Linked DNA regions of Alligator mississippiensis. Each later gene encodes a partner of the first gene's protein in a complex. Links are inferred from orthologs where the notes say so. Each region holds a gene or a part of one and is shown on either strand. Other genes may lie near its edges.

The links. The genes of interacting proteins can lie anywhere in the genome.
Region 2: surfeit locus protein 1 (region 1) and SMIM20 share a complex: the UniProt entries of both Homo sapiens proteins name them as parts of the MITRAC (mitochondrial translation regulation assembly intermediate of cytochrome c oxidase complex) complex. The link is inferred for Alligator mississippiensis from reciprocal best matches to the Homo sapiens genes SURF1 and SMIM20.

Annotation. Positions count from the first base shown.
Region 1 is NC_081835.1:60,871,529-60,879,307, forward strand, and holds the start of surfeit locus protein 1, read right to left. Parts: upstream 3,082-7,779; 5' UTR 3,035-3,081; coding exon 2,975-3,034; intron 2,751-2,974; coding exon 2,672-2,750; intron 2,030-2,671; coding exon 1,902-2,029; intron 1,550-1,901; coding exon 1,467-1,549; intron 759-1,466; coding exon 567-758; intron 230-566; coding exon 157-229; intron 1-156. Other genes in the region: SURF2 (surfeit locus protein 2), read left to right, coding at 3,230-3,313, 3,517-3,671, 4,417-4,520, 5,654-5,842, 6,445-6,617. UniProt on the Homo sapiens protein: Component of the MITRAC (mitochondrial translation regulation assembly intermediate of cytochrome c oxidase complex) complex, that regulates cytochrome c oxidase assembly.
Region 2 is NC_081825.1:39,731,820-39,739,437, forward strand, and holds the start of SMIM20 (small integral membrane protein 20), read left to right. Parts: upstream 1-4,589; 5' UTR 4,590-4,637; coding exon 4,638-4,746; intron 4,747-7,618.

The sequences.
Region 1 (7,779 bases):
AGCAGGTCACTCAGCACCTCCCCCCACCCCTTAAAGTTTGGTGCAGGATGTGGCACCCAGAGTGGGTGACTGGCCACCCCTAGTCTAATGCCTCAGCTGGCATATTAACAGTTGCTTCCAGGGTAGCGGGTGAGAGATCTAACTGGTTCCTCTTACCTGACCATTCAGTCTGGTCTCTGGTTTCAACTTCTTTTTTGGGACAAAGCCTCGGTTCACTAGGATTGTGATACTGCAGGTACAAGTAAGAACGGAGAGAGAAAAATAAGTGTTAGCAAGAGAACTCCCATCACTGAAACTACATGCCAAAAAGATTAGCGATCTACGTGTTTGAAAACCACTTTCCAGGTAACAGGAAGCAAATTAAAATGGGTTTTAAATGCACTTGGAAGTCAAGGGTTACCAACTGAGTAGACCATCTGAGAGGCTTTTTTCTTTTCTCTTGTATACATCACTGCTCTCCTTTGAACTAACCTGACAGCTGCAATTCAGCTGCTGCTGGGAAGAAACAAAGTGCCTGCTGCAGCCCTGCATAAGCCTAGAGTCCTCCAGCTAGTAGCTGAACATACCCAAGGTCTGTGCAGTAGAAGGGAGTAATGATGTTTGCTCCATTGTCCGGACTGGATGTCAGTCGTCCAGCTTCTCTGGCCTCTCGCTTAGGATCTACCCGTGAACGTGGCATAACGTAGAGCTCTTTGGAGTGATCAAAATACCCTCGAACCTTGACAGACCTGTACTCCAGCTCCTTCAGCTCTGCAGGGCTGTAAGGGAACAAGATGCACTGGGATGAGAGCAGTCTCTGGGCCACCAGAGCCAGACAGTTAAACCTTTAGCGGAATTACGGGGTCCCCTCTGTTTTTTTATTCCCCAAATGGACAACTGGCAAATCAACTGAAGAAAAAAAAAAAAAAGGATCAGCAGTAGCAGACAGAGAAACAAAATCCCCAATGAGTTAAGCATCCGACTACAGTTTAGCAGCACGCTAGTGAATAGCATGAGTTGTTAGTATCCTGGGTATACCCAGGTGTAATTCCTGTGTCACTGGCAGAACTCAACACCAGCTGGGAAGGGCCTTTTTCCTGTAGACATAGCATGTGGAGGTCAAGTCAACAGTAATTCTCCTTCCCTTCCTGACCCTTGAACCTTGACACTCTATACCAGATGGCCACATGCACTTGTTCTGTGCCTCAGATTTGTCTGAACAGTGCAAGGACCTTGTCTATCCACATGGCTTTTTGTAACACGTGCATTTTTGGTAGCACATAATGCTTTCCAGGGAAGCATTCACAGCTCATGTTTAAAATAAGATGAACCACCATATTTTTCTTTCTAGTTTGTCTACACTGCTTGCTGCTCCCATGTTGTCTATTAGTGTGCAAGTTCCTCAGGGCAAGGACCATGTCCCAAATTCCTAGTAGATTGCTGATGCTACATGAATCATCAAGTGTAAACCCAGCTTCTACACTTACTCTGAAGGCAGAGGAACAGGCTCTGATCCAACTCTTGACTCGAGGTCTGCAATCAGTTTCAACTTCCTCTTCCGGCGCTGGACCTGGGAACACACAGCAATGGCATCATCATGGGGGCTGCTGCTAATAACTTCTTGCAAGTTTGAAAACAAAATTCATGTTTTCCTCAATGCTGGGATCACACTGGTCTTTAACAGGATAATTGGAGACATGAAAATTGAAATACCTATTTCCTTGCGGGGATGGAAAGTAAAATTAAATTTTCCAACAAAAGAATTGCCTGGACTTGTTGAAACAGCCCAAATTAAAGATGCCAAACAACACTGACTAATTTTTATTTTGACACGGATAAGTCCCTCTGGCTGGCTAAGGCAGTTCTCAACTGATACCCATGTGCGTACTTTGATTTCTAAAGAGTGAAATGTTTTCATTTACCTGCCATGTGCCAAGGCAAAATGTGGTCACAGGGATCAGTAAAAGGCCCCACCTGAACGCAACATCCTCTCCAGATTCGATGACATCTGCTGTGCCACTTTTTGGTCTCCGGAGTCTCAAACAAACGTCTGGAGTGAATTCAAATTAGAAACACAGTTACTATAAGAGAAACCAGCTTACCTCCCTGCAGGGTTTGCAGCATCAGGAACTGATGTTTACCAAGCTTCCCAGCTACCATGCTACTGACTCGGTCCTAATGTTCTCTGACTCCTTTAATTAAGCTATTTTACTTACATTATCTACTCTACACAGTGATACTGTATTGGAGGCTTAAGTCTTCAGACGACATTATAAATCATCTCAGCATCCTTTGACAAGCGTAAAAGACCTCTATTTATGGAACCTCTTCATTTCAATTAATTCTAATGCATTTTACACACGGGCAAGTGGTGCCTCCCAAGTCCGGGGGGCACCAGATTGCCGATTGGGGGGGGGGAGGGGGTGTCACCCAGTGGCCAATTACCAAGCCAGCAGCAAAACTGGAAGTGCACTTCCAGTTTCATGGCTGGCACTTCCAGGGGTGCACGTGCACCCCTAGCATCGCCAATGATTTTATATAACTGCCAAAACACAAGCTTTCCCCCTTTCTTCCTCATGTCACATACTATTGGCAAGCAGCACAGGTAGAGAAAGCTGCATCAGACATCCCCGGCTGGAACACGACGGCAGCTGAGTGTCGGACCTGAAGGAAAGACGACATTTTTCCTTACCTTTAGATCCCTGTAGCAAACCGGACCGTGCTTTTGTACGAGGATATGCAAAAAACGTCCTGACCGAAACATTTGGTATCTAAACAAAAGCAAAGAGATGCCGTGTCACGCCCCTGCTTTGCGCGCTCGAGCCTCGAGCGATCAGGGCGGCTTCGGAAGATGTTATTTGCTGGGAAAGGGAGCTTGAAATGATCCAAAAGGATGATGTCATGTCTAGGGCCCGAGCCGAGAAGCAGGGGGGCTGGCAGAGGAAGGGGGGAACCCCCCTGCCACCCCCGTCCCGCCCCCCCCCCGCGCTCCCACCTGGGCACAGCCCCGGAGCTGCAGCAGCCTCCCAAGGCAGCGCCCGCCGCCCGCAGCCATTGTCCACAGCCGCTTCCGCTTCCGCTTCCACCGGAAGTGGGGACTCACTGGTAGAGACTGGTAGTCTCTATGGTTCCGGTGGTCGCGGGCACATCTACTTCTGCCGGAAGTGGGGAGTGCCCTAGTGACAGCGCGTCTCTATGGTTCCGGCGGCCGCGGGCACTTCCGGTGGGCGGGGCGCGGGGCCTTGGGGCCATGTGCGCGCTGCCCCAGGACGTGCGGCGCTTCCTGCAGCGGCACCCGGCGCTGCGCCCGCTGGGGCCGGGCGGGGACACCCGGGTGAGCCCAGGGGCGGGTCCCCACGCGGGGGAGCAGCGCGGGGGGGGTGACACGCGGGGGGGTGCCGCTGCGTGGCAGCTGGTGTTCAGCTTTGGGTGGAGCAGGAATCAGAAACCGCCCATGCCTGGACCGTTGTCCAGACCCTGCGTGAGGGGCGGGTGCAGGAGCTGGCGTCTCACACGTCTCTTCCCCCCTCGCCCCAGGTACGCTGCGAGCTGACGGGGCATGAGCTGCCCTGCCGGCTGCCCGAGCTGCAGGCCTACACCAGCGGCAAGAGGTACCTGCGGCTGAGCGGGACACCTGGCGCCTTCAACTACAGCGACTACGAACCCCACATCGTGCCCAGCACCAAGAACCCGTGCGTAACCCCGTGCTGGCGGCTGGGGCAGGGAGGAGGCCTCGGTGCTTTGGAGGGAAGCTGCTTGCTGGGCTGGGAAAGCTTTTGCAATGCAGCTTTGCTGGCTGTTGCCTTCGAGCAGGGGTGTCGAACTTGCACAGGCCTCGGGGCAGCGTCGAACTGTGCGGGCTCCCCTGGGCCCAGCAGGGCAGGTCTGCGTTCAGGCAGCAGAGCGGGTCCAGGGATGGCCAGCAGCCAGGCAAGCGAGGGTGGTGTCTGCATAGCCCTCTCTCCCCCTGTTGCTGGTGGGCATGTGCAATGGGGGCCTACGCACCCCGAATCCTGTGGCAGGACATGCTCCACTGCCCACACCGGTTGTCTGCTGGATCAGCAGCAAGCCGGCTGGAACGGTTCCGTAGGCCATGTTTTGACGCCCCTGACTTAAACCGCCCACCCAGGAGCAATGTGAGAGGCAAGGACTCTCACAGGTGATGTCTGTTATTGGGGCAGCTGCTTGGTTGGGACAGGCTTAGACCGCAGTGCCCTCCTTCGGGTCTCCATCTGCTTCTCTCTCAGAGGCCCAAGATTTGTGATATCCCAAAAGCTCATCTAAATCTATCCCCACCATAAAAGAGAGGACCCACAAGAGTCTGAGCCTCTTGCATGTTTTTTGGACCGTCACGGCTACAGCGTTGTTTCATTACTCAGACGTGGACCGTTCCATTTGCTGACTTTGCTGTGCTCACATCCATGTCTCTTCCTGTAGACACCAGCTGTTTTGCAAGCTCACGCTCAGGCACATCAACAGGGTCCCGGAGCACGTGCTGCGTCATGTCCAAGGGAAGCGCTATCAGAAGGCGCTGAAAAAATGTAAGTGGTGCTAGCGCCTTCTGCAACATCTTTCTTGATCTGTACTCGTGGCGCCCAGCCTGGTAGGTGGGAAGTGTTGGGGAAGCTCTCGACAACTTGCCAGTAACAACAGCACTCCTGCCTGCTGTTTGCAGTTTTTTTCTCTAGTTGGCAAAGCAGTGTCTTTGCTTTAGAGCAGAGGTTCTCAGACCTTTTTGTACTGCAGCTAATGCTTAAATACAGAGGTTGTGCAGTGGATGCTTTTCTATCTATGGCATCATGTGGTATCTCTGGCATTAACACTGAACATACAATTATGGGAATGCCTAATATTTTAACTCCCTGTCAATACAGTTTAGCAGCTGGAGAAGCCAGCCCTGAGGGATTTGCCAGCTGTCTGCATGTCCCAGCTTGAGCACCTTACGTTCAGCCACCAACTAGTGGAAGTTTGGATGGTGGCTTATATCTGTGGGGACTTGATGAGAGTCAAGATGAGCCTGGCAGTGTTGTTTTATCAGTAAAGGGACTGAAGCTTGTAGATCTCTGGTGGCAGTGTTTGGCTCAATTAGGTAGTGACTGAATGCCAGTCCTACCCGACGGCTGCTTGTTGGCCTGCATGTAGTGAGCTTGGTGTTCCTGGGAACAAGTGTTTGCTTTGTAAAAGCCAGCACCCCCTACCATGGGAGGTGTTTGTGTTTGTGTTTGCATCCCAGAAGCTAGGTTTGAATGGAACGTGCAGACTGAATTGCGCTGCCACCGCTAGAGGCATGTCCTGGTCAGAGTAGGAGCAGGGTGTGAAGGAAACTGCAGTGCTGGACTTCTCTGGACAGAATAGACTTGGGTCTCTGGGGATGTTTGGCTCTTGCAAAAGGTGTCAGGCTCGGTGCACACCCCTGCTACAATTGCTGCCAGGGCAGCAAGATTGAAGTGCGCGCTCCCATTTTGCATCCATTGGCTTTGGTGTCTCCCTAGGTCTCTGCAGGGGCATGGTCTGTGAAAGGTGCAGTTGCAATTCATACTGCACTGACTAGCTACCCAGGACCTTGCTGTACCTCTGGTTCGCTATCTTCCTCTATTAGGCCAGCAAGCTGCTGAATTGCTTGCATTTCTGTGTGTGATCCTAGCTGAGTCCCCCTGTTCTGTTCCCTAACTAGATGAGGAGTGCCAGAAGGAGGGCACGGAGTATGTGCCTGCTTGCCTGCTGCAGAAGAAGCGGCAGCGGCGGCATGATGACCAGCCGAAGGGGAGCAAGCCGCCGTGCAAGAGGGGGGATTTCTGGGAGCCCGCGTCCAGCAATGAGGACGAGGAGGACAGTGACGACAGCATGAGCGACCTGTACCCACGTGAGCAAAGCTTTGGCGTTTCTGAATATTGTAAACGGACCCCCTCTCCTCCCTCGGTCCTTCCTGGCACTCACTAGAAAGGCAAGTCTGTTTCAAGTGCAGGGGGGCTGGACCCGATGACCAGCCCCTAACATCTACGAATCCCCATTAGCAGCACAGGGAGTGGGATGAGGAGAGGACTTCTTGGTCATGCGTAAAAATGGGCAAGACTCTATGGAAAGAGGCAGAACTTTGCTACTTTGAAAGGGCAGCAGCAGGAGCGGGCCAGGATGGCAGTTCTGTTGATGCCTGGCCAGCGGGGAGCCCACACATTAGAGGATCATGGGCTGAACGTCTCCTGTACTTGGATTACTAAGGGTCCTGGGCCCATTGCTACTGATGTGCTGTCAGCTTATTTGCCTTCCAGGTGTTTCAGTAGTAACATACCAGTTGGTCACTGAAGGCCTTTGGTGATAGAGGTTGGAGTCTAATGCTTCAGCTTGGTCCGTTCCCCCATTAGGATGTCCCTGAAACCCCTGTTAGGATGTCTCTGAAGTGGAGTGAGAGCAGGTGCCCGTGTGAAGCAGAATCTGGCCCCATCTGGGTCTTGCCTTGTGTTTTAGCTGAGCTCTTCCCAGAAAAAATCCCAGCAGCTGCAGGACGTGGGGAAGACAGCGACGACTTTATGACAGACAGTGAAGAAGACAAGGCCAAGCCGGCTGGGGAAAATGGGGATGTGAATGGGGAGAAGAGTGAGAAAATGGACCTGGATGGACAAGGCAGCAAAAGGGGAAAGGTGAGTGCTGCACTGCTGTGGAAAGCAGTGACCCGCGTTGAGCTTGGGACATGAGGTGAACCTCTGTATGGGAGCACAGGGACGGTATCCTGCATGTTTGCACCAATAGTCCATCTGCTCTGCTGACCTGTGAGAGGGGCAAATGAAAGCCTAACATTTCCTTGCATGGAAGTTTCTAACAGTGAGCAGCTGGCGTAGACCATAAGCCTACCATTTCTTGGTAGACATTCATCTTCCTGAGGCTCTTTGTTCCTGTCTGTGTAATTATCAGATCTCCATATCAGCCCTCCTACACTTTGCTTTGAAAAGCAAGGGGATTGGGCTGTAAAATCTCTTCCCCGCATTAATCAAATCCCTTGACATAGGGTTAGTATATTCGCTCTTATTTCCCCAGCTCCCTTCAGTAACTACCCAGATGCTGTACAGTGGATCTCCTCCCCAGAGTACATCTCTGTCCTGATCCTGCACATCTTTGCATCCAAATCCCTGCTGTGTGTTTGGGAAGCAGCTGGACTTCATGGCCCCTGTATATAGCAGGTATAGGGATTTTGGAAAAATCCTTGCTGATAAGTCCAACTCTAAAAGAAAGTCCTGAGCGAAGGAAGTGGATTCCTTGCTGTTAGGAACATGCCAGTCTTGGGAGATCAGAGTCTGTGGTAGTTTGATTCACGTCTGCAGCCAGGTTGGCAGTACAGGAAAGCTTTGCTATTTGCGGGTTTGGCATTTGCGGTTTCAAATATTCGCGAATGCCGAATTCTCATTTTAAATGCACTTCATACACTTACAAGCACTCCTCAGGAGCTTTGTGATTGCTCCCGCTGGAGCTGCGTCCCCCTGCCCCAGCGCACATGAACGCAGTGCCTTATTTGCAGATTTCGCCATTCGTGGGGGGGATACAAAAACGTATCCCCAGCGAATGGGGAGGGTTGCCTGTATTGCCATTTAACGTGACGACAAAGCGGAGGAAGGGTACAATAGCTTGCAGATTGTAGGCAAGGGTTGAGGTAAGGAAATGCCTTGTCTTTGGCTGTGTCCACGTTCTCTGCAAACAAGATCGCGTTGACACCCAGCCTAAAGACGGTGAAGTCTGGTGGGGCCCAGGTGTTTGCTTTCTGGTCCTGGCTACGCGCCATTTCATGCCAGCCCAGAAAGACAAAGAACT
Region 2 (7,618 bases), on another chromosome or scaffold:
GCCTTACCAGCACACTTCATGGTGTGTTTCATAGTGTCTTGCTTTTATAAAAATATATAAATATATATGTGCCTTCCTATATAAATTCCATAGTATAACATGTAAGCTATAAATGTGTAAAAATAAAAATTTATAAATGTATATGTGCCTTCCTATATAAATTCTATAGTATAATATGCAACATAATTATGAAATTGAAAAGAATAAATCAATTAATATTATAATAAAATTAATGGGTCTAGAAAGAAAGCAAAAGGTATTGAGGAATCCCACTTGCTAGGCTAGCAAGTAGGAAATCAAATCAATGCTAGTAGTAGCCTTTGTTGTCTAACGTTCCTGAGGTGGAAGATAGCTCAGTAACTGACCCCAAGGCAGAAAGCAGGCCATTTCAAACAATGCTGCCTTTTATTCTGTTTTTCCATCCCTCCCCCAGAGCACTGGGATTGGAAGGGATCTCAGGGAAGGATCACAGTCACTGGCCAGCTACACAGTCAATAACAGAGCATTCCTTCCCCCTTCTTCCCCATCCCTCTCCTTACTTTCTGTTTCCCTGCAGGCAAGCCCAGCTTCAGCTTTGAAATGTTTCAAAACTTTCAAAAAGTTTCAACTGCCCTCATTTCATTTCAAGGCTGTTTTGAAGCCCTTCGTTTCATTTCAATTTTTCTGTTTCGAGCTTGAAACGAGTCGAAACAGTGTCAAAATGAACAGCCAGTGAAATTTCTCACAGTCCTATTAATCAGGGCCAGAACAGTATTCCACAATGGGAAAAGGTGTCTACATGAGTCTACACATCCAAAGCTTAGCAGGTATTGCCCATGGCTGTCATTGGGCCAGGGCAGGTACACTGTCTGAGTCCGTCTTTGCTTTTGGTTGTTTCAGAGTTGGTATGTCTCCCTCAGATTCAGCTGTTCTTTTATATATTTTGGAGGATCAGAGGTACAGTTCTCCTGAGCCAGGTAAAAGCTTTCCCATGGAGGGAAGAATTTCAAAGGCTGAGAACTGGCATATCTAGTCATGGAATTTTGCATTAATCCCTTGTCTCAAATGATTCTGTTGGAAATGCATCCATTGAAATAGGGACATTAGGAAACAATTTCCCTTGATACAACTGCCTTTATAGTATGTCACACGTAAATAAAATAGCTCTGAAATGATTCCAAAACATCACCTCAATAGACAACTGGAGAAATTGTAGATTTTGATAGGAATACCCTGCAAATGAAAGGTGATGAACTGACAGGGGTGGCCTGTTTGACATATTTTTGATAACACATATAACACAAACTCCAAAGAAAACAGCTTGGGTGAAAAGCTATCTGTTAAATAGCATCATAAGAAAGTAGGGCTGGGAGCACTGGTGATGCATAGGGGCTGCATGCAGGTGCATGTGCACCCCTTGCAAAAAGCGCTGCAGACGCTGCCAGCGGTGCCTATGGGTGGTTGCCACTCACCACTCCTCCCCACCCAGTGGCACCCCCCCTCGGTAGCAACTGCAAGTGGTCGCTGACTGCTGGTTGGCGCTCGCCAACTCTCCCCACCACCCGCTGCCGACACTGCCATGGCCGCCTGCGGGAGCTCCTCACTTGCTGCCAACTGACCCCTCCTCCACTGCCTCTGACACCTGCGGGCGGTCATGACCCCCCAGCCTCTGGGGGCATGCGGTGTTCATGGCTGGAAGGGACCTCAGAAGGTCATCTAATCCAGCTCCTTGCTTGAAGCAGGATCATTCCTGACTAAAGCATCCCAGCCAAGTGTCTAACCTGCTTTTGAAAGTTTCCAAGGATGGAGATTTCACAACTTCTCTAGGCAGCCTGACCACCCTCATAGTAAGAAAGTTCCTTTTAATCTTCAGCCCGAATTTCTACTGCTGGAGCTTGAGGTTATTACTCCTAGTCCTGTCCCCTACTGCCACAGAGAAGCATCTAAATGCTGCTACCCCTTCTGCTAATGACAGAGAAATCTCTCAATTCACCTCTGATATATATATATATATATATAAGATGACCTCTCTTAGAAATCAGAGAAGACTGGCTGACATTTCTTTAAAAAACAACAAACCCTTCAAAGTATGTAAGGGACTGGATTTTTCTAACACCCATGTCATACTGGTTATCTGCAGAAAAAATCAATTTGGCCTCCTACCCCTACTATTTGAGATCATAGATAAAAATATTACAAAACCTCAATAGTACCCGCCTGTATTCACTTAAGCCTGCAACTTTAGCAGCATTTCTGTTGTGTTTAATACCCCTCACATTTATATGCTTTTCTGCATCATGATGTCATGGAATCATAGAAAAGTAGGTCTGGAAGGGACCTCCAGAGGTCATCTAATCCAACCGTGTCAGAGGCAGTATCATCCCTATCCAAACCATCCTATCCAAATGCATTGTCTAACCTATTAGCAAAGCCACAGTCAGCCCTGACACAACTAAGTCTAACAACTAGAAAGGAAACATGGGAGCTAAGCTAAAGGGAGACTGAAGTGAGTTGCTGCTCATGAAAGCTCTTATACTGTTATTCAATTATGATATAGAAGTGGTTCTTGGGCTTTTTCAGACTCAAGGCACCCCTGGCTAGACCCAAGGCACCCTTCCAAAACTGCCAGCTCTTGTTTTTTGACTAAAATAAAACAGAGCAATAAAATAAAAATAACAGTGCTAACATGGCATGGCCTTGTTACAGCCTTGAGACAATCCCAAGACACTCCAGTGGTGCTGCCTCACCTGGTTGAGAATCACTGATCTGTAGGATGCACCCTAGTCCAACCCCTGCCTAAGGAAGGATCATCCCTATCCAAACCAGCCTATAGGTTTCCCTCGCTTTATGCGGGTTCTGTATGTGTGAATTTGCTCTTATGCAACAACCCTTTTTATACCAAAAATACATTATATGCGAGGTAAATTCACTCTTATGTGATTGGTGTGGTGGAAGCCTGCAGTCAGCTGCTTTGTGCAGTGCATTGTAGGAGTGATGCGCACTAAAATATAGTCTCTTGTGTGGTTCTGTGCTCCTGACTTGTTGTCTGAGACATGTGTTTCTGTAGTTGCCATCCCCATTATGAGTGTGCCCTGTTGGTGAGTACCAGAATTGTCTTGTAAAAGTGGCAGAAATGGGTCTGGGAGTCAGAACAGTCAAGGTCTTGGAACGTATCCCTATTTCTTACACCATAAAGTGGGTCCCTTTATGCAAAATTGAGTTATGCGCTGTTTTCCAGGAATTCGTGTACCGCATAAAGCAAGGAAACTTGTACAAATCCACTGTCTAGCCCAGGGGTCGACAACCCCCGGCATCTGTGCCAAGCATGGCACGCGAGGCCATTTTGCTTAGCACCCACAGCCAGCCCCAGCTCTAAGATGCTTCCAGCAGGGCTTGCAGCATCCCAGCTGCCTGCTGGGAGCCGCCCGGGCTCCCGGCTGGCAGCAGCTCCCCAGAGCCAAGGCGGGTGCAGCCGGGAGCTCCAAACAGCTGTGCCGGGCTCCGGCATCAGCTCCACACTGGCGCTTGCACCCGCGCCTTAGAGCAGGCGGCGAAGGCGGGGCTGAGGCAGCGCAGCCCCGGTCTCCCCCCACCCCGCTCCGGGCACGGAGGTGATGGCGGGCTTCCAGAGCCCGGCGCTGCTGTTTGTAGCCAGCCTGGGCTCTGGGCAGCTGCAGCAAGCAAGCAGGGGGCAGGCTGCAAACAGCTGCGCGGGGCTCTGGAAGCCCGCCATCACCTCCGTGCCGGGAGCGGGGTGGGGGGAGGCCGGGGCTGCGCTGCCTCAGCCCCGTCAGCTCTGACACGCAGGCGCACGCGCCGGTGCGGAGCTGATGCCGGAGCCCGGGGCCCCGCGCAGCTGTTTGGAGCCTCCCGGCTGCAATTGACCCCGGCTCTGGGGAGCTGCTGACAGCCACAGAGCCCAGGCTGGGAGAAAGGGGCTTTGGGTGGGGGGCGAGGGGCAGTAGAGGTGGGGGCACAGGGCATGGGGCAAGAGGCTTTGGGTGGGGGGCAAGGGGCACAAGCAGGGCATCCTGCTATGTACCCCTTGCCGGCACCGCGGCACCTTCCAAGGTAGGCACTGTGGTGTTTTTCGGCACTCCGGGCAAAAAACGTTGCTTACCCCTGGTCTAGCCTCTGGGCGCTCAGCCTCCAGCCCATGCGCCAAACGGAGCGCAAACCCTCGGAATCGGGCCTGTGCGGGTCCCCGGAGGCCAGGACACGTGGCGGCAGTTAATACCGCCAGCCCCGCGCCTGCTTCCCCCCGCCAGGCCAGGGTGGGGCCGTGCCCCCGCCGCCCAGCGCAGCTGGGTCAGGGCTGGCCCGGGCCCCCCGCACTGCCCGCTCCCGCGTGGCTGGGCTCGGGCGGGTGGAAAGGCCCGTGCAGTATGCGAGTGCGGTGATGCACCAGGCCGCTACCGGCCCAGGTGAGACCCGGCAGGCGACACCCACAAGAAGGGAAATGACGAGTAGGAGAGAAGGGCAGCGCGTGCCGGGGGGACCGTGACGCACAAGATCAACTCAGTGATGTCAAAGTCAAGCAGGGGCGGGGCGGATGCGGGGCAGGAGAGGCACCTCCCACGCAGGGGGAGGGCGTTGCCGTGACGCAAGTTCTTCCCGGCGTGCCCCGCGCCCCGCGGAAGCGGGTACTTCCGGCGGCGATGGCGCGAGTTTCCCGCGCGCTGCTCATCTTCGGCAGTTTCGTGGCCGCAGTGGGGGCGGTGGTTTACCCCATCTACGTCCTGCCGCTGCAGCAGATAGAGCGCTACAGTGAGTGGCCCCGCGGGCTCCGCCCTGCCAGCGCGGTGCAGCGGGACGCCTCGCCCCGCCCCGCCCGTCGCTTCCTCGGGGCCACTGGCCCCTTTCCGTGCGGGCCGGGGCAAGGGGGCGCTGGCGGCTCCCGGCTCTAGTCGGAGAGGGCGAGTCCCTGCCTGAGGACACGGCTGCGCCCCTTTTTGTCGCGTCCCTGGTGGGCACGGTGGGTGGCATCGAAGGGGAGGCCAGGGGGTAGAGGGACGTGCAACTCTTGGCTGTGCCTCCGAGCCTGTTCTGCAAAGCACCACACTTCTAGCTAGAGAGAGTGGTCACCCACAACTGGAAAAATAATGTAACTGGTAGTCGGCTTTTTTTGGCCAGAAACATCCCCAATAAACGCCGCATGCACACGTGCAGCCGCAGCTGGCACATGCAGCAGCTAAGAAAGTAGCCTGGCAGTTTGGAGAGCAGTGTCTTGCCCTGCCAATAAGTCTGCTGGGAAGGGGCATGAGGGTGCAGATGGAGGCCAGGGTGGTGAGGGAGGGAGTGGGGCAGTGAACGGGATCCTGGGGCTGGGAGCAGGGTGGAGTCACTGGAGTCACAGGTGGCTCGTCCATGGAGGCATGTGTCCCCTTCCCCCGCCCCCGATTTGTGCATGGGGCAAGGGTGGGCTGCCCACTGCTGGCCCAGGACGTGCCAGCCTCTTATTAGCAGGGGGCTGGACAGTCTCCACTGCACAGGCAGGTGGTGGTGCTGGGAAGGCTGGCTATGGGGGGGCTATGGAAACTATTGGGGTGATTAGAGCCCCCAAAGCCCCTCCCCTAGCACCGCCCCTGCTCTGGGCACTCTGCTGCCTTTCACTCAGGAGCCCCCTGCTGTGGGGTGGGCAGGGACTTGTGGCCAGAGGGGCCCCTGAGGGAAAAGGCAGTAGAGTGGAGTGCCTTAAGCAAGGGTGGTGCTGGGGGTGCGCTCTAGCAATCACAAAATTCCCCATAGCCTCCCCACTCCCCCACCCCATAGCCAACCCTCCCAGCACTGCCACCTTCCCCCATGCATCTGAGTCTGCCCTTCTCCCGCCCAAGCATAGCCCCATCCCAGTCCCCCTGCTGGGAAGAGGCTGGTGCTGCCCCTGGCCATGAGCACGCAGCAGACAGTCCACCCTCACCCGCGCACAAGTCTGGGGGGGAATATGTCCCCCATGCATCTCCCAGGGGCACTAGCTGTGGTGGGGAGCCACTCTCCCTCCCTACCTCCCCTTGCCCCCAGACGACTTGCCTGCGACTCCATCCAGCTCCTGGCCCTGGGGTCCCATTCACCGCCCTGGCTGGGCAGTTCCTGCTCCTGCCCCATTCCTTCCCTCACCATGGGGGCCTCGATCTGCCCCCCCATGTTCCTTCCCTCCCCTGGGAGGGGAATCTAGCTGTCCCTGCAGTCAGGTTCCCATAGCAACGGCCAGGGCACTCTGCCAGTGCTCCCTGTTTTCAGAATGGGAAGGGGAACGGCAATGGGGAGAGCTCATTCTCGGGGCTCCCTGCTGGTGCTGAAGGGTGAGGTGGGTGAATTGGGCCCCCCCATCTCTGGCGGGGGGGCTCCAATATTCCTGCCCCACCTCCCGGGGTCAACCCCCCCCCCCCCCCCCAGACTGAACTCCTTTTCCCTTTCCTTCCTCCCATTCTGAAAGCAGCGACGGGCTGGGAGCTCCACAGACACAGGTTACAGAAGGCGCTATATTTTGAAATATCTTTATTTGATACTTCATGTAACGAAGGGTCAGATTTCACCAGATTGGCCATTTTTAAGCTGTCTGCAGCCGAGCAGTTGTTTGGTCACAGCTATAGACTGCTTTCTGTGGCGAGATTGGATGAAAATTGTCACTTCTGTCTGCATCTTCAATTATGTTTGTATATTTATATGTTTGTATATTTATTTACTTCACAGCATAACTTTTGGATGCCCATGAGTTGACTGTATTTTGAGACATGTTTGGAGATCTATGTGTATATCACACTTCAGGTGTCAGGAAATAAAAAAGACACTATTTATTTATTTACCTATATGTATAAATAAAATGTGTATTTATTTTTACTTCAGCATGATTGTGAAGTAACATGCTTCCGACACCTCAAGTTGGATATATTTGGCGACTGTGTTGTTTTTTTTTTCTTTCTCTCTCTCTCTCCCCCCCCAGGTATACCCAACTTTATAGCATGATTTTTGGACACCTTAAAGTATTGTGCTTCAGACACCTGAAGTTGGATATATTTGGATATCATGTATATCATGGGTTCCCAAACTGGTACGTGTACTCCTGGGAGTACGTGACATCTTTAGGGGGTACACTGGAGAAATTGCGTAACAGTGGATTTTAATGTCCATTATAATAATTGTCATTAAGGGGTTAAAATATAAAATGTATGGTAGTAGGGGCATGGGGGCAGCTGATTAAATCTGGAAGGGGTACACAATAAGAAAAAGTTTGGGAACCTCTCATATGTATAATGGATAATCTCCAATTATATCCGACTTTTGGGTGTCCAAAACATGTTACTTCACAACCATGCTGAAGTAAAAATAAATAAACTTTTAAAGATTTTGTGTGTGTAAAATCTCTATATATACATTTATTTATTTATTTATTTTAGCATTTAAAGAAGCACAAGAGCTTGTTACGCTCATGTGGCTTCCTTGCAGTTTGGTTATAAGAACCTGAAACTGACATTTGACATTCATTGCTGTGAGAGAGAAATTTTGTATCACTTTTGCTGGGCACAAAAGTATTCACTAGCACCTCATGCCTTAACCTTCATTTTTTGCTGGTTTTAATAGATGTTTGTTTAGCAACCATGAAAGTGAATGGTGATTCTTGTCTTTGCACTTATGCTTTTCC